Linked DNA regions of Oryctolagus cuniculus. The protein of the gene in region 1 interacts with the protein of each later gene in a biochemical or structural test. Links are inferred from orthologs where the notes say so. Each region holds a gene or a part of one and is shown on either strand. Other genes may lie near its edges. The genes, in order: RXFP3 and RLN3.

What was found.
Region 2: the proteins of RXFP3 (region 1) and RLN3 form a complex in vitro, tested with the Homo sapiens proteins (2 studies listed by BioGRID, with this or other methods). The link is inferred for Oryctolagus cuniculus from reciprocal best matches to the Homo sapiens genes RXFP3 and RLN3.

The regions. Positions count from the first base shown.
Region 1 is NC_091445.1:59,990,587-60,007,771, reverse strand, and holds RXFP3 (relaxin-3 receptor 1), read right to left. Parts: upstream 9,151-17,185; 5' UTR 7,519-9,150; coding exon 6,121-7,518; 3' UTR 4,678-6,120; downstream 1-4,677. UniProt on the Homo sapiens protein: Receptor for RNL3/relaxin-3. Binding of the ligand inhibit cAMP accumulation.
Region 2 is NC_091447.1:62,920,003-62,933,724, reverse strand, and holds RLN3 (relaxin-3 precursor), read right to left. Parts: upstream 1,686-13,722; coding exon 1,484-1,685; intron 740-1,483; coding exon 501-739; downstream 1-500. UniProt on the Homo sapiens protein: May play a role in neuropeptide signaling processes. Ligand for LGR7, RXFP3 and RXFP4.

The DNA.
Region 1 (17,185 bases):
GAGTTGATATTAAGTCTTTCAAAAAACAGCCTCCGGTTTCTGCTGTGATCTTCTGTTCTACAGGCTAAGCAGTTTTTCGCCAACCATTCCTCTTCAGCTGCTCCTAATAGGGTGAGGTTTTTAGCAGTCTCCAGAGACGAGCAAGGCTTAATAGAATGATCACAAACTTTGGCATCAGGCTGGTTTAGAATCCTGGCTTTGTTATCCAGCAGCAAACGGACTTCCTTCAGCCACATCTGCCCATCTGCACATTTAGAATGGTTGTTCCTACCTCAGTCATGAGTAATGACACAAAACTCCGAGAGTGCTTCCCACTGCACTAAGTATTTCACCTGTGTTCATCAGCAGTCCTGGGAGCTGGTGCTGTCACTCACTGGTCTCATTATGAGGATGAGGAAACTGAGGCAGAGAGTTCTAGAACTCACCTGAAATCAGCCAGGTCACTAGTGGCAGAGCTGCGCTTTGCACCCTGGTACTTTGGTTCTGTTGCTTCCTGTGCCCACAGCACCTAGGCTGGGCTGGCCCTGGTTGGTGCTCAACAAATGACAGCGAGTGCACCAGACTACTGCTAGTGGTTCATCCTCCTGTTCCCCCACCCCAGGTCTTCTCTGGTCTTAAGCGTTTGCCTGTACCACACCCAGTGAGCCTGACTAGTGCAGAATGGAGATTTGTCCTTCTGTATTCAGGAGTTAATGCTGTGCTGCTATCTGACCTCATCTCGGAGTCTGGGCGTGCACTCATGGATTGCCTCCATTGGATTTCTAACCATCCCAGGTCTTTGTTGCCAGGAAGGAAAAAATGAAATGAACTGTCTTTGAGATACTGTAGTCGTTTGTCCCATACATAGTAGAATTTATGGGCTCAGAGCATGGCCAGGCCCCTGCAGCATCAGCTCATAGAGGCAGTGATCCTGGGAAGAGGAAGCATGTCCTGCTTGTCCTCTGGAAAGCTTTGGGTCCTCTTACACACAACTGTTGGGTGGATGAGGGGCTCAGGAGCACTCCTAGCATTTGTGGAGTCCAGCCCGCAAGTATGGATGCAGACCCAGGTCCACAGCCCGTTCGTCTTCCCTTCTCCTTGCATTCTTATTTCTGTCCAGCACCTTGTGAGTCCTTGTGTGCACTTTGCCTTCAGCACATCCATGGTCTCCCACAACCCTTCACCCCCTGCCACTCCTGCAAACAGCCCTCCTTACCCCCTCTCATACTAGGGTCTCATAGCCTCAGTCGTGTGCTTTGCCCTCTGGGGGGTGGATTCCAGAAAGGATTTGTGAGGGATTTGTCAACGGACTCAGGGGTGTTTGGATGAATTATTCTGAGGTCTGAGGTACTGGCACATGATCTAGAAGGTGGGGGGCACAGGCTGCACTCAGCCCGGTGGGTTCCCTGTGCAGAAAAGAGCGCAGCTGGAGGGAGACAGGTAGAGCTGAGTCCTCTAATGATAAAACCCAGAGCAGGGGCCCAAGGCCAAGAGCAGCTTTGCAGATTACTATCCCAAAAACACAGCCTGCAAGCAGATCCGTTGTCATTCAGTGTTTCAGCTTCCTCCTTCCAGTGGTCTCCAAACGCAGCTAGATTCCTGTCATCTCAATTTGTTCTCTTCCTCCTCCTCCTGCCTGGGCTTGTACTTTGCTGCTGCAATTCTCTCAACTGCTTTCTCCTTGATTAAAAAGCCTGCTCTTTGCTGCTACCTGGTTATCACAATGGGAACTGCGGCAGGGTTAGTGTTGTAGGCTGGGACATCTGGAACATCCTTGTGGAGCAGGCCACATGTGTGTATGTGCAGAAAGGGCAAGAGGGCTGATGGAGGGCTGGGGGCTCCTTCCTGTTCACTGCTTACCTGTGTTACCAGCAGGACACACATCTTCCTTACCTGACACCAAGCACTCCAGGCTCCTGTAGTTTATCCCATTCTTTCCAGATCTCTGGTGCTGTCCTCACCAGGCTGGGCTGTCTTCTCAGACCCGAGTGCATTGTTGTTTCATTTATCAACCCTCAAGCATTATTCTCTCCAAACCAGCACTTCTCGTGCTCTGCCACCCTACTCCTATTAGTGCCTCACTTGCAGATAAAACTCTCCCGTTCTTTATAGGATGCATGTGGACAACTACCCTATCTTTGCCATTCTTCTTTCCACCCTCTTCTCCACATCTTTCAGCCTCATCATCCATCCTGAGAAAATGAGGTCATGACTGACTTAGAGGAATAATCAGGAAAAACCCCTGCTTCCATGGGGTTTTGCTTGGGGTATTGAGGGTCACATACTCAGAGGACCCCGTGTCAGTACTCTGAGCATTATAAAAGAAGTGGAACCAAACCACCTTTCTTGCTTCACCTATCTGCACTGCCTTTGTAAAGTTTAGAAATGAAACATCCTGGGACCAGCACTGTGGTATAGCGGGTAAAGACACTGCCTGCCCTGCCGACATCCCATATGGGCTCCAGTCTGAGTCCCGGCTGCTCCACTTCCGATTCAGCTCTCTGCTATAGCCTGGGAAAGCAGTAGAAGATGGCCCAAGTCCTTGGGCTCCTGTACCCACGTGGGAAACCTGGAAGAAGCTCCTGTTCCTGGCTTCGGATCGGCTCAGCTCCAGGGGTTGCGCCCATCTGGGGAGTGAACTAGTGGATGGAAGACCATTCTCTCTGCCTCTCCTTTCTGTGTAACTCTGACTTTGAAATAAATAAGTACATCTTTAAAAAAAATAAATGAGACATCCTGCAGGGTTCATACTGATTTACTGTTTCTCTAAAGACTGTTCTGGTATTGGAAGATTTAGAAATGACTGGATGGGGGAGCTGGGAAATTGATCCATCCTATATGGTCCCTCAAGAAGTTAACTCTGATCAATGACAGGGCATCATCTTTGTTACAAATGAAACTTCTTTTTTATTTATTTATTTATTTTTATTTTTTGACAGGCAGAGTGGACAGTGAGAGAGAGAGAGACAGAGAGAAAGGTCTTCCTTTGCCGTTGGTTCACCCTCCAATGGCCGCCGCGGCCGGCGCTGCGGCCGGTGCACCTCGCTGATCCGATGGCAGGAGCCAGGAGCCAGGTGCTTTTCCTGGTCTCCCATGGGGTGCAGGGCCCAAGCACCTGGGCCATCCTCCACTGCACTCCCTGGCCACAGCAGAGAGCTGGCCTGGAAGAGGGGCAACCGAGACAGAATCCGGCGCCCCAACCGGGACTAGAACCCGGTGTGCCGGCGCCGCTAGGCGGAGGATTAGCCTAGTGAGCCACGGCGCCGGCTCGAAACTTCTTTTAGATGGGACATCAGATAGGATACTGAGCTGAGGAAGGGAGCTATAGCAGTTATGATCCCCTCCACACACCCACTAAAACATGATGTGCAAATACTTTACTCATTGTACTCAGTTCCACTGAAGTTTGACCAACTGGGTAGAATCCAATTTTAAAAAGCCTTTAAGCACTGTTGGGACCTCAAATGCTTCTTCTCAGTACACTAACAACCTGTTCTCTCTGGCAAAAAAGTTCTGTTTCCAGACAGATAAAACAAATGTAAGGACACATATAACTTCAATGGAAATCCTGGGAAGGAGTAGGGGAAGCCAGTGCTTTGCTTCCTGCCTCCTCAATCAAGCATACATTCCAGCCTCCAGGCCTTCGGTCACACTATGCCCTCAGCTTCAAATGTCTTCATGACTCCCTCACCACCCTGCATCGGGCCCACACTGTGCCCTGTATGTCAAATACCCCTTTGACCAGGAAGTCTCTGAATCCCTCCTGGGGAATCATCTTCCTTTCCCCTGTCTTCCCTCTGAGTTTTCTTTTAGCCTTGCTGTGGTGCTCCCTGTCTGATCTTGCTTGTGTCCATGGCTGGCTGCCCTTCTAAACATGAAGTCAGGAATGTATCTGGACCATGGACCTTACCTCAGCACCCAACACAAGGTTTGGCAAGAGGTACACGTGAAAACTATTGGCTGATGTCAGTTGAGTTGACTATTTCCTTTCCAACCCCTTTGTCCTTGTGGAGGACAGAAATCACGGTCATGGATCCCCCTGTTATGGTCTCAGAAGCCTTCAGCTTTGGATTTGGACAGGCAATGCTTTCCACAGAGCTGTTTCATATGAAGACCTCACTTCTAGCCTCTTCTGTCTTTCCAGTGCCCATATAGCATAACACACACACTCCAAAACACTTTTCTGAGTTCTAAGCTACTTACACATGAACTTATTGTCCCAACTGAAGTGATAAGTTGTTTTAACAGGAGTTTCTTACTAAAAGTTTAGTATGGGTGTTATGCAGGGGTATGCTACTGTTGGTTCTTACTAGTGTTCACTCATTTATTTTGTATTTTGGGGGACACCTCCACTTTTGTTATCCCAATTGTTATTCAGTATCAACAAATTTTCTCCCCAAGGAAAGACTAATTTGACTACTTCAGAAACATGAGTCTGGTTTCTAAAAGAACTAACTTCTCAAGACTGCTCAGGACTGAAATTGGGCAGTTTTGTTTTTGTGGCAAGGGATGAGTGGTTAGCAATTTCACTGTGTTGTGTGACAAAGCAGGACAAGCAAGGGAGGCTGGAGTTTTACATCTCACATTTTGAGCTTACATCTGAAACACTGCAGAAAAATTTCCAACAAAATCACTCAGCAATTCTACAGCTCAGAGACATGTATTTTCTAATAACGATTTATTGTATTAAAATAACCACAATACTGCCTACATTGCTGGTTTCTTGACCCCAAACCAAATCATCAAGGAGAACAGTAGTGCTGCTATCAAAGCAAGCATATGAATGGGGACGCTGAGGTGTGATCCCAGTTCTCAGAGCAGCTCAAGACAGGACTTTGTGAGGGTCTCCAATATTCAACGGCTGTGACTAGAAGAGAGCTGTCATGAGAAATCTGTCATTCTTCGGAGACAGCCACAGAGACTGGAAGTTGGGGGGTGGGCGGGATTCATCACACATGCTCAATGTGCAAAGCACAAATGGAATGGGTTAAGGTAATGTCCTATGGGAATTCTATTTCTGCTTTCTCTTGTGAACAGTATGAGCAGTAAATAACCCACACCTGATATTCCGGGGCGTGCCCTCAAACCAGCACCTCCCCTCCCCTCCTCCCTTTAGGACAGGTTTTGCTTCTCTTCCCTTCTGTTTCTCACCCTGCCCCTTCTCTTGAAAGATCAGACTTCAGCTCCGAGGATTTGCTTGGCAAGAGCCCCCTGCACATTGGAACAGCATTGCTAGCTCAGCCTCCTAAGAACGGCCCTGAGCCACGCCTCTTGTCTGGGCCACAGCCTCAAAGGGGAATCCGGATTTTCACGGAGGGAAGAGGAAGGGCCTCAGGAGCGCCCCCACCCTCCAGTAGAGCTCTGGTAGGCGTTCTGGGCCCGGCTCACCTGCGGCTCCCAGAACGGAGCTCAGTCTCCAGGTACCCAGAGAGCCCTCAAAAGTGAAGCGCCAGGGCTTTCAGCCCGCGCCTGGAGCTCCACTTCCTGTTGTTACCAAATGAACAGGTGAGCCCACGTTTTCCTTCTTGGGACAGTACCCCGACGTGGTTCTCTCCTCAGTCCCTGTAGTCAGCTCCCTCTCGCGCGGCCACACTACTCTTAAGTGAATCGCTCCCCCTTGCTGGCGGCAGGTGTTATGCTCCTGGTGACTTCTGAGCTCAGAGGCCGATGAGGTAGGACGCAGAAAGTGCCCAGCCTCCCAAAGCAGGGTGATCAATGCTACAATGACTCGGAGGGAGGTGCTTCTCCTCCCACACTCCCCCTGGGAATGGACCAACACGCCCCCTCTTCTAACAAGGGGGAAAGTTTCTTGCCTCTAAAACTCCAGGCTCTCTAGACACTTTGAGTTGGACCTTTGCACAGCCACAGCCTCCAGGGCCAAAGCGTAGAGGGAGGGATCTGAGAGAGCCGCACCTCTCGCTGGAGGCAGCCGGCAGCCATTATCAAAGACTTTGAAAGTCGCTGGAAAAAATGCGCTCCATTGTGCACCTTGTGGCTGAGCCTCACTCTCAAACCCTTGCTTCTCTGCATTCCCGGTGCCGCTTCTTTTGTGGGCGCCGCCACACTGGAGCACCATCCCCTTCCCACCTACTTCAAGGCCATTTTGCCCAACAGACCTCACACCCTGGGCCTCCGCCGGCGTTAGTAGGCGGAGCTGCTGGGCAGCAGGTCGTAGTGCCCCCCGCTGTAGACCACGACGCCAGGCGGGTAGTAGAGCAGGTCGGGCTCGGCGGCTGCGTGGATTGGCGCCAGGGCCTGCAGCCCGTGGTCTTCGGGTTCTGGCTTAGTGGTGGCGGTGAAGGGGCGCATGCTGGTGAGCGAAGGCGACGCGATGCGCCACAGCAGGCTCTTGAGCGCCTTGCGGAACTCACGGCGCACGAGACAGTAGAGGATGGGGTTGAGGCAGCTGTTGGAGTGTGCCAGGCACACGCTCACTGGGAATGCGTACACCTGGCACAGGAAGTACTCTTGGCTGAAGGGCACCGCATTGAACTTGATGAGGATGCTCCAGGTGGTGAGCGCCTGGTTGGGCAGCCAGCAGAGGAAGAAGGAGAGAACGACGATGGTCACTGACTTGGTGACCTTGGCCCGTCTCCGGGCGCTGGCTCCCGTCAGGCCGCCCCTGGCCGCTGTCCCTCCTTCGGTCCCCACCACACGACGATCGGAGATGAAGCGCACCAGCAGCAGGTAGCACAGGCTGATGACGCCCAGAGGCAGCAGGAAGCCCAGCAGCACCTTTTGCGAGTGGTACAGGCCCAGCCAGAACTGCCGGTCGCCGCCCAGCAACTTGTCCGGGAAGCGTACCAGGCACAGCTCGTCGCCCATCACCTTGATCGTGGTGGAGAAGATGGCATTGGGCAGCGAGGCCAGCACGGCTGAAGCCCAGATGAACACGCACAGGGCTTTGGCCGAGAAGCAGCAGCTGTCTCCCAGGCTTTGGCCGCAGCAGTCGCACCGGCTGTGCCCTTGGGTCCGGTGGCTCTTTAGAGCCGAGGCCACCGAGTAGTAGCGCACCACGCTCATGGCGGTGAGGAAGAAGACGCTGGCGTACATGTTCATGGACGTCACGACAGACACGATCTTACACATGGCGTTGCCAAAGGGCCATCTGAAGTCGAGCGCATTCTCCATGGCCCAGAAGGGCAAGGTGAGCACGAACTGGAAGTCTGTCAGCGCCAGGTTGGTGACGAAGAGGTTGATGGAGGACTTGCGCCAGCCCTGCTTGCTCTTCATCAGGTACAGCACCAGCAGGTTGCCCGCCAGCCCCAGCGCGCAAACCACCCAGTACACTGCGCTGATAAGGATCCGCACCCGCGCTTCCGTGTCCGCACTCTCCGCCGCGACACTGCCGGGGGGCGCGCCGTCCGGCAGCTCCAGCCCCAGCTCCCACCACAAGTCCTGTAGCTGCAGCGACCCGTTGACACTTGAGTTGGCAGCTTCCAGGAGGTCCGGTACCAGACCCAAGAGTCCTGCGAGCTCGTCCCCGCCGGCCGCCGCCTTCTTCATGGTGTTCATCGCGGCTGTCGCAGCCACCTGCATGCGCAGGTGCCTCTAGGGCATGTTCCGGGGGGCGAGACTGTAGGGAGCACGATTGGCAGCGGGTTTAGTCCCCAGGCAAGCGCGCGGCCAGTGCGCGGGAGCTTTCAAAGTAGCCGCTGAAGACAGCGCCTGGGAAGCGAGTGCAGATGGGGGTCAGAGCGCAGGTTCTGGAGTTGAACTCAGCGGCTGCTCCGGAGAGGGGCAAGAGACCAGAGAAATGCAGCTCCCCAGGCGAGCCAGCGGTCGGCGTCCCAGGCTGCCTGGGCCGGGGGCGCAGTCACCGGGTCCCCATGCATGCACGCCGCTGACTGCCTCCCTCCGTTCCCCGCTGTCACTTAGGGCGCTGGCGCCTAACCCACCCAGCCGCCCAGGGCCCGCGCCTGCCGTTTCCAATACCTTTGTCGGTTTTTCTCTACTGTTGCTGCTGAGAGAAAATGAGGTTGGGATGTTCTGGCTCCCCGGCTCTGACTGCCTGGAGGTCCGCGGGTGTCTGGATCTCTCCGCTATTGCCAACTCCGAGAGAGTTGCCGGCGGCGCTCGCCGGAGTTGTATCAGTGCTCGCAGACCCGCGGCGGCGGACCCCAAGGAGCATGCGTGGCTCCCGCGCGGAGCCAGGGGCGCTTTCCGAGGTGCTGAACGCAGCCGCGCCCGCGGGACAGGCAGAGCGCCCGCAACGCCTCTCTGCTTTCCCAAGATGCAGAAAGAAATGATCAGAACCCTTTATTGTCCTGTATTGCTGGAGAAAGCCTATTATAATCTGAGTTCCCTTTTCCTTCCTTATTCCCAAACATTGCGGCTCGAGCTATTTGGTTTTTTTTCTGAACTTCTCATTTCCATTTTATTATTGGAACGATCCTACCCGCTTCCGTTTTTACAGCAGTGATAGTGGCCTCCCGCACACTAAGACGATGGGTCCTAACGGAATACACAGAGGCGAGCTCCTCTTCTTCTACATCTTCCTCTCTGAGATGGGGTTTTCAAAGGGTCTCCACATAGCACAACTCTGGTTACTGTTGCCTGTACTTTACTGTGTTCTGAGAAGTGAAACTAAACATAGCAGAGAACAGGTGAGCCTGCTCCACCTGTACAGTCCTCATCCAGAACTCCCCAACAAATTGTTAGATTCACCCACACTGTCTTCATCTAGAGGTAGATGGAACAGAGGAGACCTTGGGGGGTGGCTATGGATGCAGTCTTCTAATTAACACTATTATTATAACCATCTATCTCTGTAAGGTGTTTTTCAGACCACTGGGAGTAAATTCTAGGGAATCTCTTAAATGCCTTTTGGCAAAGGAAACAGTGGAAACTGACTGGCTTCTGAATTTTGTGTTGTTGAAATTCCAGGTCAATTTCTCTGGTTAAATATGCTTTTAAAGAATGGATTTAAGAAATTTAAAAATTAAAAATGTTCCTCATTGAGACTAAACAGAAACAGAAGTATTGTAAGCATACAGTGATTGTCCTCACTCCTGGGGTAATGTGGAACTTGAGGCTTTGCTTGTGGAGATAAAATGAATGTGACTTCTAAGAAAAGAATATATAAAAAACACTTAGTAGTGAAGAAACATGGTGTGTCCCCCACCCCATAAAAAAAGGGAAACAGAAAAAAACCTTGATTCCCAGGCCAGAACACAGGTGGTTAGGAAAACTTCTCTGTGTGGATGCTAGATTGCTCTATCTTTTCACTAGAGGGCGCCAGGGCTTTAGAAAAAACAGAACCCAAGCCAAGCCCTCTCCTTTCCTCCTTGTATGCTCTGATTCTTCCTGAAAACACTTTATTCCCTGTTAGCAGCCCGACCTTCACACTCACTTTCGTTTTACTTTTTGCTAGTTCTTTCTCTGAAACAGTTTTATCTTTCATAATAGTGCAAGGTGTTATCAAAAAACAAGAAAGCCTATCCCAATGGCTAGACTAGAGTTTGATGCCTGACTCCAAGTGGTGATTCCAGTTTGCTGCAAATACAGACCCTGGAAGGCAGCAATGATGTCTCAAGTAGTTGAGTCCCTGCCACCCATATCAGAAACCTGGGTTGCATTGCCGACTGGCCTGTTGTAGCTATCTTGGCAGTGAACTAGAAGATGGAAACTGTTTCTTTTTTTCTCTCTTTCAAATAAATAAAATAAAATAAAGGAAGCCCGGGAAAAATTTGAAATCCCTCTGTTGTTAAGTTATTCATATGTTCACAATAATGGCCCTAATCAACCAAGTATACAGCTTTTTGTCTTAGTGCTTCTAGCCCTACCTAGGACCATATGAAAAAACTTCAAATTGTGGAAAAATAGAACTGCAAGGTAAGTTTAATTTGGTGCAAAAATTTTCAAATTTATGTATAGGTTTTTCATAGTATACATTTCCATGAACTTTTTATGAACCTCTTATCATGAATTTCAATGTTTTGGCACCAAAATAAACTTATTCTTAATTAGAGTTTCTACAAATTTGTTGAAGTACCCTTATATCTACTTTTTCTGCCTCAAATCATGTGAAGTTTTCACATTTTATTAAGAGTATTGCAAAGGGCTTGATCTGATGCATCTCACACTCATTGGCCATTTACTCTTTGCTGGGCACTGAGTGAGACTGAAGGATTTACTGTGACAAAAACCCTCTGTTTTGATCCTCTCTGAAACTTTTCCTTGAAATAAGTGTCCAATATAGCACTGTCTGTGACTGTATTTTTTGTTTAGTCTAGTGCATGACTAAGTTTTCTAGAATGTAATGATCTTTGGCAGATACATGGACAATAATTTTAGTTTGATTTTCCCTCTAATTTTGTTAAGATTTGGGCACATAATAAGCCATTATACAGTACTTTGATGAGTTGTTCCAGTTTCAATTTTTTGTTATCTCAAGGGTTTTCTATTTATGTTTGTTTTGAATGAACCATGAAACAGGAAGGATGCAGACCTTGTTTTACCACATGCATTGTGTTTTTCTCTATCCCCATCTTCCCCTCAAATTAAGGTTGGGTTGTTATGGATGTCCAGAGAAATATCCTATTACCTACAAGAAGTCCTTTCTCCTTCTTAGTGACAGAATGTGAGACCTTGAAACCATTTTCTGCACTGTATTTGTATGCTTGAAGCCATGTGAATTTTGTGAAGCCATGAGTGTGGACAATGTAAAAAGTATATCTTAGTTAATAACCACTGGAAACCCATAATCAGAGAATGTAAGAGAGCACTGGCTTTAGTCTTGGTATTTTGCAGAGGAAGCCTGAAGATGTGAAGGAATTTTCCCAGAATCCTATGGTTAGGAAGTAGCCACACTAGGTCTAAAATATAAGTGACTTCTCTTGTTCCATGTTCCATTTCTCAACTGGATCTGACTCAATCAGAATTTTTCAATAAAGTAGTGTGTGGTAGGCTGAATCACGAAGTACATCTGCATTCTGACTCCTGGGCCTTTGAATGTTACTTTATATGGACAAAAGGACTTCAATGAAATCAAAGGTCTTGACATCAGAGAGATGACTATGGATTATACAGATGGTCCCAATATATTCACAAGAGTCTTTATAAGAGATAAGAAAGAGGAGTCAGAATCAGAGAAGAAGGCAATGTGATGACAGAAGCAGTGATTAGTTATGATTTTTGAAGACAGAGGGAGGGACCACCAGCTAAGAATACATGTAGCCACTAGAAGCTGAGGAAAGCAATAATATGGATTCTTTCCCAAAGCCTCATGAAGTAAACCAGCTCTGCCACTACCTTGACTTTATGCCAGTGGAACTAATTTCAGACTTCCGATCTCTAAAGCTGGGGAAGAATAGGTTTTTCGTATCTTATGCCACAGTATTTGTGGTCTTTTGTTATAGCAGCAATAGAAAACCAGGAAGGTGGTACATAAGCCTGGCTTGAACATTACCTGCTATTCTGAGTTAAACATATTAGCTCATCTTAACATATTGTTCACACATCAAAGAGCTATTCACTGAGTACAAACTTATGCAAGGTACTAGGCCATGTAAGGGAGATTTAGTGAAAACTGTCATCTACCAGAACTCACATTCTAATAGTTGATACGAATATGTAGAAAATTAGAATTGTAATGAATTGTATGATTAAAATTATCACAAGAAAGAAAACAAAGTGAAATAGAAAGTTATAAAATTATATGCAAGAAGTAACTTTTTGGGACTGGCTTTGTGGTATAGGAGGTAAAGCCATCCCTGAGGCACTAGTGTCCCCTATGGGTTCCAGTTCTTTTTTTTTTTTTTTTTTGACAGGCAGAGTGGACAGAGAGAGAGAGACAGAGAGAAAGGTCTTCCTTTGCCGTTGGTTCACCCTCTAATGGCCGCCGCGGCCAGCGCACCGCACTGATCTGACGGCAGGAGCCAGGTACTTATCCTGGTCTCCCATGGGGTGCAGGGCCCAAGGACTTGGGCCATCCTCCACTGCACTTCCTGGCCACAGCAGAAAGCTGGCCTGGAAGAGGGGCAACTGGGACAGAATCTGGTGCCTTGACTGGGACTAGAACCCAGTGTGCCGGTGCCACAGGCGGAGGATTAGCCTAGTGAGCCGCGGTGCCAGCCTGGGTGCCAGTTCTTATCCCTACTGCTCCACTTCCAATCCAGTTCCCTGCTAATAGCCTGGGAAAAGAAGTAGAAGGTGGCCCAGGTACTTGGGCCTATGCCATCCATATGGGAGACTTGAATGAAGCTCCTGGCTCCTGGCTTTGGCCTGGCCCATCACTGGCTGTTGTGGCCATCCAGGGAGTAAACCAGAAGATGGAAGATAGATCTCTCTTTCTCTCTTTTTCTCTCTCTCTGTCTCCCTCTCTCTCTCTGTAATTCTGACTTTCAAAATAAACAAATAAATCCTTAAAATGAAGTAACCTTTAACTATTCATGAACATCTTGATTTAATTGTAATACCTCTTTTCAAATGAAAAGTTTTAAAAATCAACATGAACTTCCAGTTGCTATGAGAGCATTTAATGAGATTGAATTTTATTTTTTGGAAAGGTATTAATAAATTATATATCTTATTTTTTCCATTGTTAGCTTTTATAGAGCCCTCTGTCAGCTTGTCTCTGAAGGCGTGCATCATTACATAAGGAGCACCAGGGCCCTTTCTGTGTATTTCTCATCTCATTAAAACAGTGTCATCCTTGTGTAGGAAGGGCATGTGTCATTATCATCGTTTGCTCTTAGTATTGAGCCTAGATATTTCACATGTGTGGATACAGGACAGAATAGTTGATTGGATTCTGCATTTGGGTGAGATCATACAGTAAAGGCAATCCAAAACAGGATGCAAATTTTCAAAGGTAATTTAGAAGTTTCCTCTAATTATGCACTCATTGAAAATATGCAAATCTAACTCTGTTTTATAATACTTTATTTTCTTCTAAGATTCATCTATGTCTAGCTTAAAGCCACCTGTACTTCAAAGTCAGTGTGAAACCTTTAAAAACATTGATGCCAGTGCCAATCTTAGACCAATTCAATGAGAAACATTAGTGGAAGAGTAAAATGTGAAAAACTGTAGCTCCCTGATGGCTGAACCTGCTCTATTCAGCTACCCAGAAGCACATTCAAAGTATTTTAAACAGCTATTTTGCTATATGTCTTGATAAATGTGGTAGATTTGCTTGTATTGTTTCTGTATTTTTTTCATTGTAAGCATTGTTTTTCACTTCACACAATGGAAGGTGAATGGTTAGCCTCTTTTCTTCACTGTCTTTTTCCACTTATACTGACATTCCAACACCTCTCCATTTAGTTATGTTTTTTATTTATTTATTTGATGGATAGAGTTAGACAGTGAGGGAGAGAGACAGAGAAAGGTCTTCCTTCTGTTGGTTCACCCTCTAAATGGCCACTACAGCTGGAGCTATGCAGATCTGAAGACAGGAGCCAGGTGCTTCCTCCTGGTTTCCCATGATGGTGCAGGGCCCAAGCACTGAGCCATCCTCCACTGCCTTCCTGGGCCACAGCAGAGAGCTGGACTGGAAGAGGAGCAACTAGGACTAGAACCTAGCGCTGCAGGCGGAGGATTAACCAAGTGAGCCACGCCGTCAGCCCCCACTTAGTTATGTTTTACTTTGGGAAGATAAATATCTGCCCTTTACCCTGCAATGGCCATGGAAACTTGGTTAATGACAAGTCACGCAGTATGCGATGATTGATATTATTTTCTTGTGTGGCTTTTTGCCCCATTAGAATTCATTATTCTTATTTGTTCAGTGTAATTTTCACTCAAATATCCCCAAATTCTCCTTAAGTTGTGAAAAATCTTTACTCAAAATTAAAATAAAAATTGGGTTCTTCTTCATTTGAGAATGTCAGCTTCTCCTTGTCTGAAGAAACTGCAATGTTCTGATGCCTTGCAGGGCTTTGCTCCTTCTACTTGTTATCCAGGGGCTCTATAATTAGACTGAGTCCTGGCAGGGCCCAGAAAGTGAGACACGAGATGTGACTGGCAAGGAAGAGTGATGCACATCAAAAGAATTCCAGCATTTAGGCAATTTTACTGAAGAAACCTGGGAATCTTTATAGGAATGAAATCCTAGTAGTGGAGGGCATATAGTGCTGGAGGGTCATGTTGGTTGATATGAGTGCACAAAACAGAGATTCCAGATTCAGTGTATTACTCAACCTGCAGGAAGCAGCTCTAGCAGTATGCTCATGGGTTGACTGAAACAGAGTCAGAGTATCCTAGACAAAATGATATTGAAAAGCCAAAAGTTTCATGATATACTTTAGGGAGCAGCATATAGGAGCTTAGGAAGAAAGAATGATAGCAAAGATTTCCTATGTGAGATCTGCTCAGTCATCCATAACTTGCTTCCCAAGAGGGTCAAGAAGCCCCCCCCACCATATCCCTATGGCAGACGAGAAAACATCCCTGAGGGGACTTTGAAAATCTTTTTCTTTGAAAATCTTTCTGTGGTGGCTGTGATCAGTAAGCCAGGAATGGAAGAAGGAGCTGCTGCTATTGAGCTAAACTTGCTGAATTCAGTAGTGATGTCCTCCCAAGGCATCAGGGATTCCGTGGAGGCACTTAATTCCCAGAGGTGAGGTGGGACAGATTATGGCCATGAGCAGCAGTGTGAAAGAGTAATCAGAACAATTTGACCTAAACCTATACTCCTTGTTAGCTAACTGACCATTGCCTCTAGTGCTGAAATAGAAGGCAAGCTAGAAAAGTCCTACTTGGTATGCATAAGCAAAAAAAAAAAAAAAAAGTCGCTGTTATGAATAGAAGTCTTACTTGAATCAGCCCCTCCAACAATGAACGGAGTTGAGCTGATTTATAGACTTACAATCTCCTGGATGAAGAAGAGGCAGGTCTCCTTGAGGAAGAACTGTGAAATGTGTACTATAATCATTCTTACCTGTCACCAAAGAAACTGCCTTCATTTACCAGGTTGATCAGACATTAACGAAGGGAAATAATAGGACTTTGGCTATGAGCTGACACCAATTCCTGGTGAAACAACATTCCATTGCTATTCACCAACTAGAGTAGAAGCTTATAGAGATTAGGTGATCAATTATGTTTTCATCAATTCTATCATACAGAGGGCTCAATGGGTTCCTGACACCATACTGTGATTTTTCATACAGGTTCAGAAGGCATATTCAACGACTAGCATATTTACACAGGTTCAGAAGGTATATTCAACAACTGGGGCACAATCTCTACTTCGATTCCCTAGTCTATGGAGTGAGGGCTATGATATTAGAAAAGACCAAATAGAAGCTAACAGAACTGCTTCTATGTAACAACCCAAAAGCTATGCCACATAGCTGGAGGAATCTTGCAAAAATTAGATTCACATTCAAGGAGTGAAAAGATGCAGGATTGGGGCCAGTGCTGTGGTTCAGTGGTTTAAGCTATTGCTTGCAATGTTGCCATCCCATGCTGGATTGCCAGATTGAGTTCCAGCTGCCATGCTTCTGATCTAGCTCCCTGTTAATGGATGTGGGAAGGCAGCACAAAATGGCCCAAGTGCTTGGGACCCTACCACCCACTTGGGAGACCTGGATGGAATTTTAGGCTTCTGGCTTCAGCCTGGCTTAGCCTGAGCTATTGTGGCCATTTGGAGAGTAAATTTGTGGATGAAAGATTCTCTCTTCTCTCTCTCTCTCTCTCTCTCTCTCTCTGAGTGTATTTCTCCATGTGTCACTCTGTCTTTTAAATTAATAAATAGATATTATTTTTTGAAAAGACACAGCATTGGGAGTGAAGCAGCAGCTGTTTATTTGAAGGAAACAGGCACTGTTGTACCTTGCCCACATTTGCAGTGACCTGGTGGCTCACTTATTGGCATTGAGCAGCACATAGGATTTCAGCTCTCCTGTGTCCTACCAGATTTCTTCCTTTAGATTTTTTTGAGTCCTGGGCCAGGCACATTTGCAGCTCTCTTGCAAGGCATCTGCATTGTCAACATTGGAAGCAGTGAGAGACACACATTGATTCATGTTTATCTTCATGGGTTTTGGCAGAAGGACATGTAAAAACAGAAAGACAGGACAAGGCAGTCTGTCTGCAAGTGGCTGAAAGTTCTCTAACTACAACTCTAAACAATAACCGGCCAACAGATTTGGGCAGACCGTTCTAGCAGGTGCAGGCAATGAGCAAAAAATACAAGTTAATCCTGCATGAGAGACCATGCTTGGGGAGTGACCCATGAAGAGGCCATCATGAGCAATAGCCTGGAAAACCATGAATAAGAGTTTGGATTGCTTTCAAAATGTAACAGGGAGCTGCTGGCAGGATTTAAGTAGGAGTAGAAAATGCTGTTGATATCCTGTCCATCTCCCCTCAGTGCATGCCACATTCCTAGTTGACTATTTGACTTTCAGGGACCGGGCCCTCTGACTCCTCTATGGCCCTTCTCTGGCAGTCAAAACCTGCTCTGCATGCTTGTAGGGCAGCCTAGAGGAGATGGTGAAAGACCTCCCTTCCCCCAGCTCTTACATTTCAAGGAAGTGTACAATCAATTGCTGACAGGAGCCAATGCACAAACACCTTAGCTTTCTTGTCTCTTAGGTAGAGTAACTAATAAAATTCCCAGATCATAGTCATGAGTCAATAAAATGATAACTTGCTTGAAAGTATTTCCTGTATTGGATTTCTTTCCTTCCCTATCTTATATCCCTACGATACTCTTAGTGTTCTTTGGGGTCATCTCCCAAAGAACTCAGGATGAAAGTTATAGTCATTACAATCTAGTATCAGAAGTGGCACTCTTGCCAATTCCATAGTCTATTGTTTAGAGGCAAATCAGTAAGTACAGTTTACACTCAAAAGAAGGGGTTTGGGACTGGCACTGTGGTGTAGTGGGCTAGGCCTCAGCCTGAAGCACCGGCATTCCATATGGGCGCTGGTTCAACTCCTGATTGCTCCTCTTCTGATCCAGCTCTCTGCCATGGTCTGGGAAAGCAGTTGAAGATGGTCCAAGTGCTTAGGCTCCTGTACCCGCATCAGGGACCCAGAAGAAGCTCCTGGCTCCTGGCTTCAGATTGGCACAGCTCCAGCCATTGTGGCCATCTGGGGGAGTGAACCAGTGGATACAAGACCTTTCTTTTTCTTTTTTTTTTTAGATTTATTTATTTTATTTGAAATTCAGAGTTACACAGAGAGAGGAAAGGTAGAGGAGAGAGGTCTTCCATCTGATGGTTCACTCCCCAGTTGGCCGCAATTGTCGGAG
Region 2 (13,722 bases), on another chromosome or scaffold:
CCCGCCGCCGCCCCCGCAGCCTTGGGTCCCGCCCCTGGCCCCCGCTGCGGCGGGAAGTCCCCGGAGTGGCTCGGCTGGGGCGGGGCTGGGGACACGGGGGAGGCGGAAACCCATCCTCATCTGCCCTCTCCCCCCTCCTAGCGACGACACCCAACTCGGCGAGGCCTTTGAACAACTTTTATTTTCCTTTTAACGCGGCACTACCCCCCACCAGGTCCCCGAGCTAGGGGTCTCGCCAGCATCCGAGTGGGTGACAAGGCTGGGCTGGGACAGGGACGTCGTTTAGGGGAGGCAGGGGCGTGTGCGGGGAGGAGGGGTGCTCAGTGCACCAGGCAGAGGCTTGGTTTGAGGCTGCAGTTGGGGTCAGGAGTCCCCCTGTGGCCAGTGAGGAGCAGAGCTGGCGCTCCGTCCATGGTCAAGGCTGGGGCCAGGGGCCGGGGGGAGGAGTGGAAGGCGGGGCTGGGGGCCCGGCTGCTGCTCCCCGGCGTCTCCCGCGGGCGCTAGCATAGGATGCTGAGTTGGCTCTTGGTGCAGCCCCACTTGCAACAGAAGCTAGAGAGCCCACCCTGGATGTCACGGCTCTCCCGGGCGGCCTCCGGGGTTTCCTGCCAGCCGGCTCGGCCCCTGGAGAGGGCCTGGGGGGACTGGGGGAGTGCCAGCCACTCGCTGGAGCTCATGGACTCGTCCGGCTGTCCTGCCAGGCTGTCGGTGTCGGCGTCTGCGTCGGGGAAGACCTCCCCTGGAAAAGAAAAGAAAGAAGTGTGAGAGCTTGGGGCTCAGCGGCTGTCGCACCCCGACTTCTGCGTCTCGGCTGGGCCTGGGCAACTTCTCTGCTGCTGAAACTCAAGCGTTGGGGCGTGAGGTTTTGGTCCTGCTCAGTTCTGGCTGTGTTATCAGTCTGTTCTATGGGCAGGTTATTTAACTTTACCAACACGTGTAACTTTCCTCTCTTTGTCATTTATTCCCCCTTACTCTTTATATAATGGAGGACCTGGTAGTTAAGAGCTGGGCTGACTGCACACAGATCCAATCCTGAGGAAGTGAAATTCCTTCCTTGAGCCCATTTCCTTGTATGGAAAGTCTTGGGGGGGGGAGGCGTTATAGTCCCCAACTTCTTCAGGGGTCGAAGTAGTAGAGTTCAGACAGAAAATGAGTGTTCAAGCCACATGCAGAATACCACGGGTTGTGTGTCAAGCACGACCTCTGAACCCCACGCGATTCTAAGTGTGTCACCAGGGAGTTCAGAGAGAGAGGAGAGGCCACGGCCAGGCGAGGTCACCCAGTAAGGTAGCAAATCTGGCCCCTCACCCTGGCCACCCCAGACAGCACCTCAGCCTTGGCAATGGCACCCACGCGCACCCCAGCCCTTGAGCCCTCCATCCAGGCTGAGGGGAGGTCTCCCCCAACCCGGGCCCTGCCGCCCTGGTCCCCATCTCTCCTGCGACCTGCAGGTCACCCGTCCCCCTTCTGGCCCCAGCCTCACCGGTGGCTTCCCTGGCCAGGATGTCCGAGCGCCGCCAGCGGGAGCTGCCGCACGTGTAGATAACAGCGCGGATGAATTCACGGCCGCAGAGTTTCACGGCGTAGGGCGCAGTCCGGGCCTCGGCGGCCCCGAGCCAGCGCTCGCCGGCCAGCGCCCACCCGCTCAGGAGCGGCAGCAGGAGCAGCACCCAGCACTTGGCCATGGTGGACAGAGCGACGCCTCGGACTGCAAGGGCCGCTCGGATCTCTGCCACCTGCCGGTCCCCCACCCATTTATACATCGGCGCCTCCCCGCACCCAGCCTGCCTGAGGCCGAGTCACCTCGCTTATCTCTCCCAGCACAGACACACGTCTGGGTCACTCCTCGCCCCCACCAGCTCCGACCTTTCCCGTCTCCCGCTAGGACGAAGCGATAACCTTTCTCCAGGGAGCAGGTGACACGGCTCAGCTGGCCGTCAGCATCCATCGCCCGGGGCCGGGGACTTTGACTCAAGCCGACCCCTGCCAGGGGAAGGGGAGGGGGCTCAGCCAGACCCCCGCCCGCAGGGTTGGCGTGCACAGCTCTCTTCTGAAGTATAGTAAGAGTGAATGTTCCATGCTTACGGGAACACGGACAGCTGTTTGCATTTTCTGCCTGCATAGTGTGTGTGCATGTATTTTTAAAGAGTTATTTATTTGAAAGGCAGGGTTATGGGGCGCGGGGCAGCGAGAGAGACAGAGAGAGGTCTTCCATCCACTGGTTCTCTCCCCAAATGGCCGCACGACTGGAGCTTGTCCCATCCGAAGCCAGGAGCTTCTTCTGGGTCTCCCATGTGGGTGTAGGGGCCCAAGCACTTGGGCCATCTTCCACTGCTTTCCCAGGCCACAGCAGAGAGCTGGATCGGAAATGGAGCAGCTGGGACTTGAACCAGCGCCCATATGGGATGCTGGCACTGCAGACGGCGGCTTTACCTGCTACACCACAGCACTGGCCCCTGCGTGCCTACGTTTTAGTCCCAGCTCTGATTCCAAGCTCCCTGCTAATGCACAGCCTGAGAGCCAACAGTGATGGCCTGAGTCCTTGGGTCCCTGCCACCCACGTGGGAGACCCGGATGGAGCTCCTGGCTCCTGGCTTCAGCCTGACCCAGCCTTGACTGCTGTGGCCATTTGGGGAGTGAAGCAGAGGATAAGAGATGAGGCCGTTTAGTGGCACTGGGGGTCTGTGCGCCCCCTCAGACGTAGGCAGTGGCTGGAAAGCCTGTCTCCAGACCCACTGGCATCTCCCCCACTAATGGATTCTCTGCTGTAGGTGTGACCTTTCAGCCTCAAGTCACACCTCCAGAGTGGCTGCGACCCTGCACCCAGAGCTGGCAGAGGAAGGGGTCTGAGCCCCTAAGGGGGTGGACAGCTTCCAGGAGACCCCCGCTATGTCCATGAGCCCCAAGCCAATCAGCAAATGTATGTGAAACCCTGCCCACCACTGTCCAATGGGGACCCCCAATAGGGGGAGAAAGAGAGAGAGAGAGAACCTTCCACCTGCTGGTTCACTCCCCAAATGCCCACACCAGCCAGGACTGGGTCAAGCTGAAGCCAGGAGCCAGGAGCTCCGTCCGGGTCTCCCACGTGGGTGCAGGGGCCCAAGCACTTGGGCCATCCTCTGCTGCTTACCCAGGTGCATTAGCAGGGAGCTGGATCAGAAGTGGAGCAGCCGGGGCTCGAACCTGTGCTCCTATGGGAGGCAGTGGCTCATCCCACTGTGCTCCAAAGCCAGCTCCCAAAATAAATTATTTTTTTAAAGACCCAAAAGTTGTTCATCAACCCAAGAACTACAGCTGCTCTGGTGAGGGGCTGGCCTGGGTTCAAATCCCAGCTCTGCGCCCTCCGTGCTGTGCGTCCTTAGGCTGCTCACTGCCCTTCTCTGTGCCCTGGTTTCTGTCCCTGGCCTCCTAGGGAACTTTGGTGGTGGGGAGTGGGGCCGGGGGTGCGCCCGAATCTGACAGCAGTGGCTGGCTCGCAATCCGTGCTATTTGCCTGTCTCTCCCTTCGGGTTGGAACTTTATCCCTGTGGCCTTTGCTTGGCCACCAGTGCCCGGCTCCCGGGTGCCCCCTGAGGCTCTGGAAGGCAGAGGGCGCATGGGATGGCTGCTGGGGGAAAGGCTGATGAATAATTCGTCTTCACCTCTGACTCCTCTGATGCCGCAGAGGTCAGGGGCTGTCGGGGATGTGGGGTGATGCGCCCTCGCTCTCCTCCCCCAGGTCTCCGACACCTGGCTCAGGACTGGTGAAAAACCAACGCACAGCGAAGTCTCCTGTCTGATTGACTGATTTAATGAACTGGCCTGGAGCCAGAAGCAGAAGGCTCAGTATTTATTATCTGCCTTTTTTTTTTACAGGCAGAGTGGACAGGGAGAGAGAGAGACAGAGAGAAAGGTCTTCCTTTGCCATTGGTTCACCCTCCAATGGCTGGCGCGGCCGGCGCGCTGTGGCCAGCGCACCACGCTGATCCGATGGCAAGAGCCTGGTACTTATCCTGGTCTCTCATGGGGTGCAGGGCCCAAGCACCTGGGCCATCCTCCACTGTACTCCCGGGCCACAGCAGAGAGCTGGCCTGGAAGAGGGGCAACCAGGAGGACAGAATCCGGCGCCCCAACCGGGACTAGAACCCGGTGTGCCGGCGCCGCTGGGCGTAGGATTAGCCTAGTGAGCCGCGGCGCTGGCCTATTATCTGCCTTTGATTTGGAAGGCAGAGACACAGACAGACAGAGACAGACACACCTACAGATGGCCCCTCCATCTGCTGCTTTGCTCCCCAAATGCCCACACTGGAGCACCATTTTTTTTTTAATTTATTTGGCAGGTAGAGTGACAGACAGTGAGAGAGAGAGAGAGACAGAGAGAAAGGTCTTCCTTCTGTTGGTTCACCCCCCAAATGGTCGCTACGGCTGGCGCTGCGCCGATCCGAAGCCAGGAGCCAGGTGCTTCCTCCTGGTCTCCAATGCGGGTTGCACTGGTTTGAGTCCTGGCTGCTCTGCTTCGGAACCAGCCCCCTGCTACAGCACCTGGGAGGCAGCACGTGAGGGCCCAAGTACCTGGGTCCCTGCCACCTATGAGGGAGACCCGGATGGAGCTCCTGGCTCCTGGCTTCAAGCCTGGCCCAGCCCTGACTGTTGTGGGCATTTGGGGACTGAATCAATGGGTGGCAGATCTCTCTCTGTCTCTCTCTCTCTCTTTCTTAGTTGCTCTTTCAAATAAATAATTTTTTAAAGAGACAAGAGGGCAGCTGGCGCTGTGGTGTAATGGGTAAAGCCACCACCTGCAGCACTGGCATCCAATAGGGGCGCTGGTTTGAGTCCTGGCTGCTCCACTTCCGATCCAGCTCTCTGCTATGGCCTGGGAAAGCAGTGGAAGATGCCCCAAGTCTTTGGACCCCTGCACCTGCGTGGGAGACCCGGATGGAGCTCCTGGCTCCTGGCTTTGGATAGGCGCAACTCTGGTCAATGCAGCCAATTGGGGAGTGAACCAGCAGATGGAGACCTCTCCCTCTCTCCCTCCATCCCTCCCTCCCTCCATCTCTCTCTCTCTCTCTCTCTCTCTCTCTGTAATTCTACCTTTCAAATAAATGAATAAATCTTTAAGAGAGAGAGAGAGAGCGAGAGAGAGAGATCAGAGGAAGTGCCGCATGAAGACGGAGGCAGAGGCTGTGCGCAGTGGCCTCAGAACCCACGGCCACACCTGGAGATGCCGCCGGAAACCAGCAGAGGCAGGAAACAACCACCCCGGGATTTCTGGTCTCCCAAACAACGCGAGAGGAGAAATGACCATTGTTGTACCTCTCCCAGTTTGTGACCGTTTGTCAGAGCCACACAGGAAATGAACTCACAGGAGCAGGGAAATGGGGGGTGGGGTGGCGGGCGTTGCGGCTCCGTGGCTAAGCTTGGAGACATCCACACGCCGGAGTGGAGCCCCAGTGAGGAGTCCCGGCTCCTCTGCTTCTGCTCCGGCCTCCTGCTAAGGCATCTGGGGAAGCAGTAGGTGAGGGGTCAGTACCTGGATTCCTGCCTCCCACGTGGGTACCCAGATGGCGCTCCTGGCTCCCGGCTGTGGTGGGCATTTGAGGAGTGAACCAATGGATGGGAGATCTCTCCCTTCCTCTCTGTCTCTACCTCTCTCTGTCTCTGCCTTTCAAATAAAAATAAGTACAAATTAAAAAGAAAAATGTGGGGCTGGCACTGTGGCATAGCTTGTTAAACTGTCACCTGTGGTGCTGGCATCCCACAGGGGCGCCAGTTCAAGTCCCGGCTGCTCCTCTTCTGATCCAGCTCTGCTGTGGCCTGGGAAAGCAGTGGAGGATGGCCCAAGTGCTTGGGCCCCTGCACTCATGTGGGAGACCCGGATGAGGTTTTTGGTTCCTGGGTTTGGCTTGACCCAGCCCAGGCCGTTTGTGGCCATGTGGGGAGTGAACCAATGGATCTCCAGGTCTCCCACACGGGTGCAGGGGCCCAAGGATTTGGGCCATCTTCTACTGCTTTCCCAGGCCGTAGCAGAGAGCTATATCAGAAAGGGAGCAGGTGCCCATAGGGGATGTCGGTGCTGCAGGTGGAAGCTTAACCCAATGTGCCTCAGCACTGGCTCCCTTTTTTTCTTTATTTAGTTTCAAGAATCTGTAGAAACGTCATTTGATACACATGTAAGGGCATGTGTGTAAACTCTCCATAAATTACCTTAACAAAAGATTTGAAAGGCAGAGTAGGAGAGACACACACAGAGAGAGAGAGAAGTGAGAGAGAGAGAGGTCTTCCATCTGCTAGTTCATTCCCCAAATGCCCCACAATAGCCAAGCCTGCGCCAGGCTGAAGCCAGGAGCCAGGAGCTTCTTCCAGGTCCCCCACACAGGTGCAGGGACCCAAGGACTTGGGCCATCTTCCACTGCTTTCCCAGGCCATAGCAGAAGGCTGGATCGGAAATGGAGCAGCTGGGACTCGAACCAGCGCCCATATGGGATGCTGGCACTGCCGGCTTTACCCACTATGTCACAGCTCTGCCCCAAACTTCTCTTTTTACTATTTTTTTCTTTTGACAGGCAGAGTGGACAGTGAGAGAGAGAGACAGAGAGAAAGGTCTTCCTTTTGCTGTTTGCTCACCCTCCAATGGCTGCCGCTGGTGCACCATGCTGATCTGAAGGCAGGAGCCAGGTGCTTTTCCTGGTCTCCCATGGGGTGCAGGGCCCAAGCACCTGGGCCATCCTCCACTGCACTCCCTGGCCACAGCAGAGAGCTGGCCTGGAAGAGGGGCAACCGGGACAGAATCCGGCACCCCGACCAGGACTAGAACCCGGTGTGCCGGCGCTGCAAGGCAGAGGATTAGCCTATTGAGCCGCAGCCCCGGCCTTCTTTTTACTATTGAAAATAAATATTCGTTTATTTACCTGAAAGACAGAAAGACACACAGCCAGGGATCTCCCACCTGCTGGTTCACTCCCCAAATGCCCACAATAACTGGACCTAGCCAGGCTGAAGCCAGGAGCTTCATCTGGGTCTCCCACATGCATACTGGCGCCATAGCACTTGGACCATCGTCCACTGCTTTCCCAGGTGCATCAGCCGGGAGCTGGATGGGAAGCAGAGAAGCCGGGACTCAAACCTGCGCTCCGATACCAGATGCTGGCGTCACAGACGGCAGCTTAGCCCACCGAAACACAAATGCCAACACCAGGTTTTAGTTTAAATAGCTGCTGATGGCCAGAGACTCCAACATGCGGCTGCACAGGTGCCTAACCTGGCTTCCTGTCCCCAGAGACTCACTTCTGGCATGCCTCACTTCCCACTCGGCCACCTGCACCCCCCCCCCGTACCCTTGAACCCTATCTGACCGAGTTCCGCCTCTCCCCAGCCTCCATCTCGCCTCGGACAGCCCAGGCAAAGCCCTCGCTGATTTAATATCCAACCGTCCGTCTCAGATCTCCAATCGCTCGGGTTTTCCTGAATCCATACCGGTTTCTTGAAGGTGTCTGTGTGTCCCCTGGACAGGTAGGGGCTGCTTGAAACAGCTATGGGGAAGAACCCCAGTTGCTGGAATTGGCTTAACTTCTTTTAGGTCGGTGCTACATTGTTGCATTTTCTTCCAAAGGCCAAGTCTTCTTCCTCCAGCTTTTTCCCAACAAAAAACCTGCCTTTCCACTTGGAGATATATAAGCAAAAAAAAAAAAAAAAAAAAAAGATAAAGGTGGATGGTGTCCCAAGCCTTTTTCTTCTACATATCCAAGGAGCCAGGGAGATAACCTTTCAGATTTTTTTTTTCATTCTTGGTGAATATCAATGCATTCTTTTTTTTTTTTTTTTTCCCAGCTTCTTGTCCTGTAGGCTGTAGGTTGCAGTGACTCCAGCTGTGGATTCCAAGATGGTGTTAACTCATCAAGACTCCACAGTCAACGCCTTGTGCCTCAGTATCTGTTTGGCTGAGCTTTCCCGAGCCCCAGGATCCACTGTATCAAGGGCTTTTTTGCAACAATGTTTCAATAGGTCTCAGTAACGGGGCTGGGTGTTTAGCTTAGCAGTGACCATGTGTTGGTGGCTGGATTCTGTTCCTGGCTGCGACGGGATGAGCCCAGCGCCCTGCACATGCGCACACCCTGGGAGGCAGCAGGTGGCCCTCAAGACCTTGGGTCCCTGCCACCCACACAGGAGACCTGGATGGAGTTCTGAGCTCCTGGCTCTTGTGGGGCCTTTGGGGAAGGAGCCAGGGACAGAAGTTTCTCTCTCTAGCCCTCAAATAAATACATATTATTTTTTTTTCCCTTTTACACCACAGGTACACAGGTTGAAAGGGTTGCTGGTAACAGCAGCCTAGTATTCACCCCCTATGCCCACTGGACAGAAAGCAAAAATACTCAGGCTTGTATGCTGAAGATTCTGGACTACAAGTTGTTGTTGTTGTTGTTGTTTTGTTTGTTTTGACAGGCAGAGTGGGCAGTGAGATTGAGAGACAGAGAGAAAGGTCTTTCTTTGCCGTTGGTTCACCCTCCAATGGCCGGCGTGGCCGGCGCGCTGCGGCCGGCGCACCATGCTGATCCGAAGCCAGGAGCCAGGTGCTTCTCCTGGTCTCCCATGGGGTTCAGGGCCCAAGCACCTGGGCCATCCTCCACTGTACTCCCTGGCCACAGCAGAGAGCTGGCCTGGAAGAGGGGCAACCAGGATAGAATCTGGTGCCCCAACCGGGACTAGAACCCGGTGTGCTGGCGCCGCAAGGCGGAGGATTAGCCTAGTGAGCCGCAGCGCAGGCCACAAGTTCTTTTTTTAGGAAAAGGTTTATTGTGGGTGGGGGAAGCCCTACCAGCCGGGGGTGGGGGGGTGGTCGAGAGGAGAGAGCGCGAGAGAGCGAGCACGTGTTCGCCCGGGGTCGGGCAGGGAAGTGGGAGCAGTGAATCCCATTGGGGTGGGGGTTGAGCTGACACCTGTGGTTGGGCCATGGGGTTCCCTGGCTCCCAACAATGGCAGCGGGGTGGGGGCTAGAGCCTAGGATGGTGTCGGGGCGTAGGTCACACCACAGACAAGACTGCACCATTTCACTAACAGCCCCCACCCCTTTAAAAAAAAAGGCAAGAGTTGTATGGGTTAGATGAGCCCCGAAAGTCCAGGAGGGGTGGAGGGACCATGATCTGTCTTTAGAGCTGCTTCCTGCTGACATGGACATCTTTAAGTTTTGTTTGTTTGTTTGTTTGTTTAAGATTTATTTATTTGAAAGGCAGAGTTACAGAGAGGCAGAGAGAGAGACTCTTCCATCCTCTGGGTCACTTCCCAGATGGCTGCAACACCCAGTGCTGGGCCAGGCAGAAGCCAGGAGCCAGGAGCTCCATCGGGTCTCCCATGTGGGTTTCGGGGGCCCCAGCACTTAGACCGTCTTCCGCTGCCTTCCCAGGTGCATTCGCAGGGAGCTGGATCAGAAGTGGAGCAGCCAGGACTGGAACCAGCCCTCATGGTCCGCTTAACCCACTCTGGGAAATTTCCAGCTGCTGCTGCCCCGTCTCCCGGCACCTTAGCCAGATGTTCCAGCCGCAGGCATCACAGCTGCAGGCCCCTGCGCCTTTCTGGCACATTCCCGAGGACCCCTCGCCATGCTCACCTCAAATGAGGGGACCTGTCTGTCCTCTCCCAGGCCTTTGCACGGAACCCGGCTGGAACTAGGAAACAGCAGCCCAGAGAGACGCAGCCACTTCCCCAGTGTCACACAGCAGAGCTGGGGATTAGAACCCAGCAAGCAGCGGGGCTCGGAGCTTCCTGGGAAGACACTGAAGGAGGAGCCAAAAACAGCTTAGTCATCAGAAGAATTAATACTTTAAAAAGAGGGGCGGCGCTGTGGTGTAGCAGGTAAAACTGCCACCTGCAGCGCAGGCATCTCATAGGGGCACCGGTTCGAGTCCCGGCTGCTCCACTTCCGATCCAGCTGCTATGGCTTGGGAAAACAGTGGAAGATGACCCAAGTGTTTGGGCCCCTGCACCTGCATGGGAGATCCAGGAAGAATTCCTGGTTCCCAGCTTCAGCCTGGCCCAGCTCTGGTCATTGTGGCCAACTGGGGAGTGAGCCAGTGGATGGAAGACTTCTGTGTGTGTGTGTGTGTGGCTCCCTTTCAGCCTGTAACTCTGCCTCTCAAATAAATAAATCTTAAAAAAAAAAAATCTTTAAAAAAATGAAGCCTACCTAAACCTAAAGACAAAAAAAAAAAAAAAAAAAAAAAAAAACCGGTACAATGACCAAAAGTGTTTAAAAAGATTTATTTAAAAAAACTCAGGCAAATCCAAGAACACGGACGTCATTTGAAAAATCACCTTGGTGTATCTTTAAGGGATACAAGACGTTATAACACATAGGGTGCTTACTACGAGCTAGAGTAACAGTGTTACTATAGAGGAACAAATTAACATATCCGTTTTCCCAAACAGTTACTCATGTTCCCCAGCCCTAGCGGTTGAGAGTGGGCAAAAATCCTGAATACAAAAAAAAAAAAGCATTTTCGTTGGCAGATCGGGCTCTGCTTGCGGAACACCCCTAACTCTGCTCACGGGTTTCTTCTGCACCTTGCACGCGAGCATGGGGAGCTCCTGCAGCCGGGGGCCCCCGCGCCCGCGTGCAGGGCCGGCGCTGACCTTTGCTTATCGCCCGCCGGCGGGAGACCTTTCCCTGGGCGGCCGCCGGGGCGGCGGTGACCTTTCCCGGGCCCACAGCCGCTGCCCGCGCCCACCCCAGCCCACCCCAGCCCACCCGCCAAGGGCCACGGGCCGGGGGTGGGGAAGCGCGCGCCCGGTGACGTCACAGAGGGCGGTGCTGCGTCACCGCATTCCCCCCGTGACGTCAGCGCCAGGGGCCAGACCCCGGCTTCCCGAGGGAGGAAGACGACCGAAGGCAGAGCTGCTTCTTTTCTCGCTGTTTTCCATTTGGTGAGTACGGAGAGGCGGACTACAACTCCCAGGAGGCCTTGTGCGGGGGGCGCAGGCGCACAGCCTCCGGCCAGGGAACGCGGTAAAGCTTCGGTGTAGATTGGCGTTTCCGTAGTCGAACAAGAAGGCTGGTTTCACAGCCGCTCGCCAATCCCCGGCCTCACAGACTCCACCCCTCTATTCTTAGCCCTCGGCTTCCCGGAGGGAGCGGCGCACTCTCCGGCCTTTGAGTGTTCAGTTTCCTTTGATGGACATTCGCCTTGCCGAATCGGAGCGCCAGGCAGTCAAGAGGGTGTTGAAAAGCGTGCCTGGCGGCCAATAGCCAAGCGGCACGGCCCGGCACCGCCAATCGCCCAGGGCCCCGCCCCGGCGCGTGACGTCAGTAGGGTGGGTAGCAACAGTTGCCCCGGTGAGGGAAACGGAGGCGCCATAGCCACGGTAGTCGTGGCGACCAAGCAACCCGGCAACGCGAGTCAACAACAACAAGCGCCCTGCCGACCCCCGCCCCCACGCCCCCGGCCCAGCCCGGGGGCCCCGGCGCGTCCCGTCCCCCTCGCCACACCGCCTCCGACAGCTCCGCGGGGCCCCTCCGCGGACGGAAGCGGGCAGAAGCCGAGGTAACCGGGGCGGCCCCGGGGCGGCGGGCCGGGCCGGGGCGCAGGCAGCGGGCGGCGCCGCAGTCACAGCCCGGGGGGAAGGGGCGGGCGGCCAAAATGGCGGCCGTGGGGGGAGGGGGCCGGGGCCCGGCCGGGGCGACGCCACCCGCGAGGGGCGGGCGCTCGCAGGCCGGCTGCGAGTGGCGGTCGCGCGGCCCGGGCGGGGGGCTTTTATATGGGGAGGCGCGAAGGGGCAGGCCTGGGGGGGGGCTGGGCCAATGGGAAGGAGCGGGCCGCGGGTAGGCGGGGCCTGGCGGAAAGGTGTGGGCGGAGCCGGCGGCTTCCCCCTGCGGGAGCCGGGTGGGGCTGTCCCGGGCCACCTGCGCCTCTGGGCTCCTCCGCCGTCCCCAGGACTCAGCTAGGACGCGGAGGGCCTGGCGCAGGCGAGATCTCAGTTTTCCCTTCTGCGAAATGGGCAGAGTGGATTCCCTGTCCGCTTCTCCTCCTACAGTCCGGGGTCTCCCGCCCAAGTCCCTGCAGGCGTTTTTCCCGGGGGGTGTTCCCCTTGGAACCTTGGAGCCCCAGCTCCTGTTTCGGAATGTGGTTCTGAGTGGGGATTAGCTAACCTTAGCTTCAGCCCTGTCTTCTGTCTGGGAGCCTGGGGCGCTGGCGACCTCGAAGCCCCTGGCAGGGTGGCGGAGGTCCTGAGTGAGATTTAGGGGAAGTGAGACTGGGGTTGGGGTGCCTGCTGGAGGTGACAGGATTGCTGCTTCCCCCTCTTCTGCCCATCAGCGTCCCCCCCTTTCTGGGCATGGGGCGGCCAAGGGCGCCTGAGGAAGTTGTTACTGGATTTTTTTTTTTTATCCCTTTGGCCGCTCCTCCTGGCCAGCACACACATGATTTTGTGTCAAGTTGGTGCCGGCCGGGTCACATGTCACTTGCCGGGGTAGCAGGCGTCCCCGGGGCCACGTGGGCTGGCGCAGCGGCAGGCCGCAGCGGTCAAGGGAAGGGGATGGGTATCCTCGTTTGTCAGCGGAGAATCTTTGTAATTGTTTTTCGGGGCCACCAGACCCGCCAGCCTGGAGAGGGAAGGAGGCAGGGGGGAGGGGTGTAGATTTTTGCAAGTTGCCAGCCGGGCCGGGCCCGCAGTGGCTTTCCTGTGTTGGTCGTTGAGCTTGGTGGGCACACAAACCGATCCGCTCCTAAGAAAATGTCCGTTTCCAGCGTCGCTCCCAAGGGCTTGAGATCGGGGTTAGGAGGATTGGGGGGGGGGGGGCGGGCGGTCTCATCCTCCGGTGTTTTTTTTTTTTTTTTTTTTTCACTTCTTAGACTGCAGATCGGAGAGAGGCCGCCTTGGGGGCTGGCCCTGGGCACCACCCACCCAGGTGCAGAGGGGTCATTGCCTAGGGAGAGACCCCCGCTGGGGCTGTGTCAGCTGGTCTCTGGGGCAGTCGCTCGCCTGAATTCTTTTAGTCTCCTGTCACTGCGCCGAGCGGCCGCCTGGATGGTGCAGCAGCTACCCCAGAACCGCCCTGCCCGCATCGCGTAGCCATGACGTCATGACGATGGTTGTTGACGTCGAGCTGTGGGTGTTGATTTGTTGAGCTGTGGGTGTTGATTTTTATCATACTGAGTGAGAGCCCGGTAGCTTTACTGATTTGTTTTTAAAGATGTTTTATTATTTGAAAGGCAGAGACAGAGAGAGAGAGAGAGAAAGGTCTTCCATCCGCTGGTACACTTCCCATTTGGCCACAACAGCTGGTGCTGCGCCAATCCAAAGCCAGGAGCCAGGAGCTTCCTCCAGGTCTCCCACGCAGGTGCAGGGGTCCAAGGACTTGGGTCATCTTCCACTGCTTTCCCAGGCCATAGCAGAGAGCTGGACTGGAAGTGGAGCAGCTGGGACTCAAACCAGCGCCTGTGTGGGATGCCGGTGCCGCAGGCAGCAGCTCTCTATGGCCGAGTGCTAGCACTCCCAGTGCCTTTAAAGGTTGGCTCGGCTTGTGCTGGGCCATGTGAGTTAGCATCAGGGACCCCAGAAGCTGCACACGGGGACTCCAGGTGCTGGCCGGGGTGGGGGTCACTGTCCCAGCTGCTGGACGGTGGCCCCATCTGTGGCATTAGGGAAGTGCTCAGGGCCAGGGCCTGGAGGCAGCCTGTGGAGCTGAGGTCCTCGCTGGCACCCCAAACCTGAGCATCTCAGGGGCCGGGCTGGCCAGGCAGGGCCTTCTGCAGG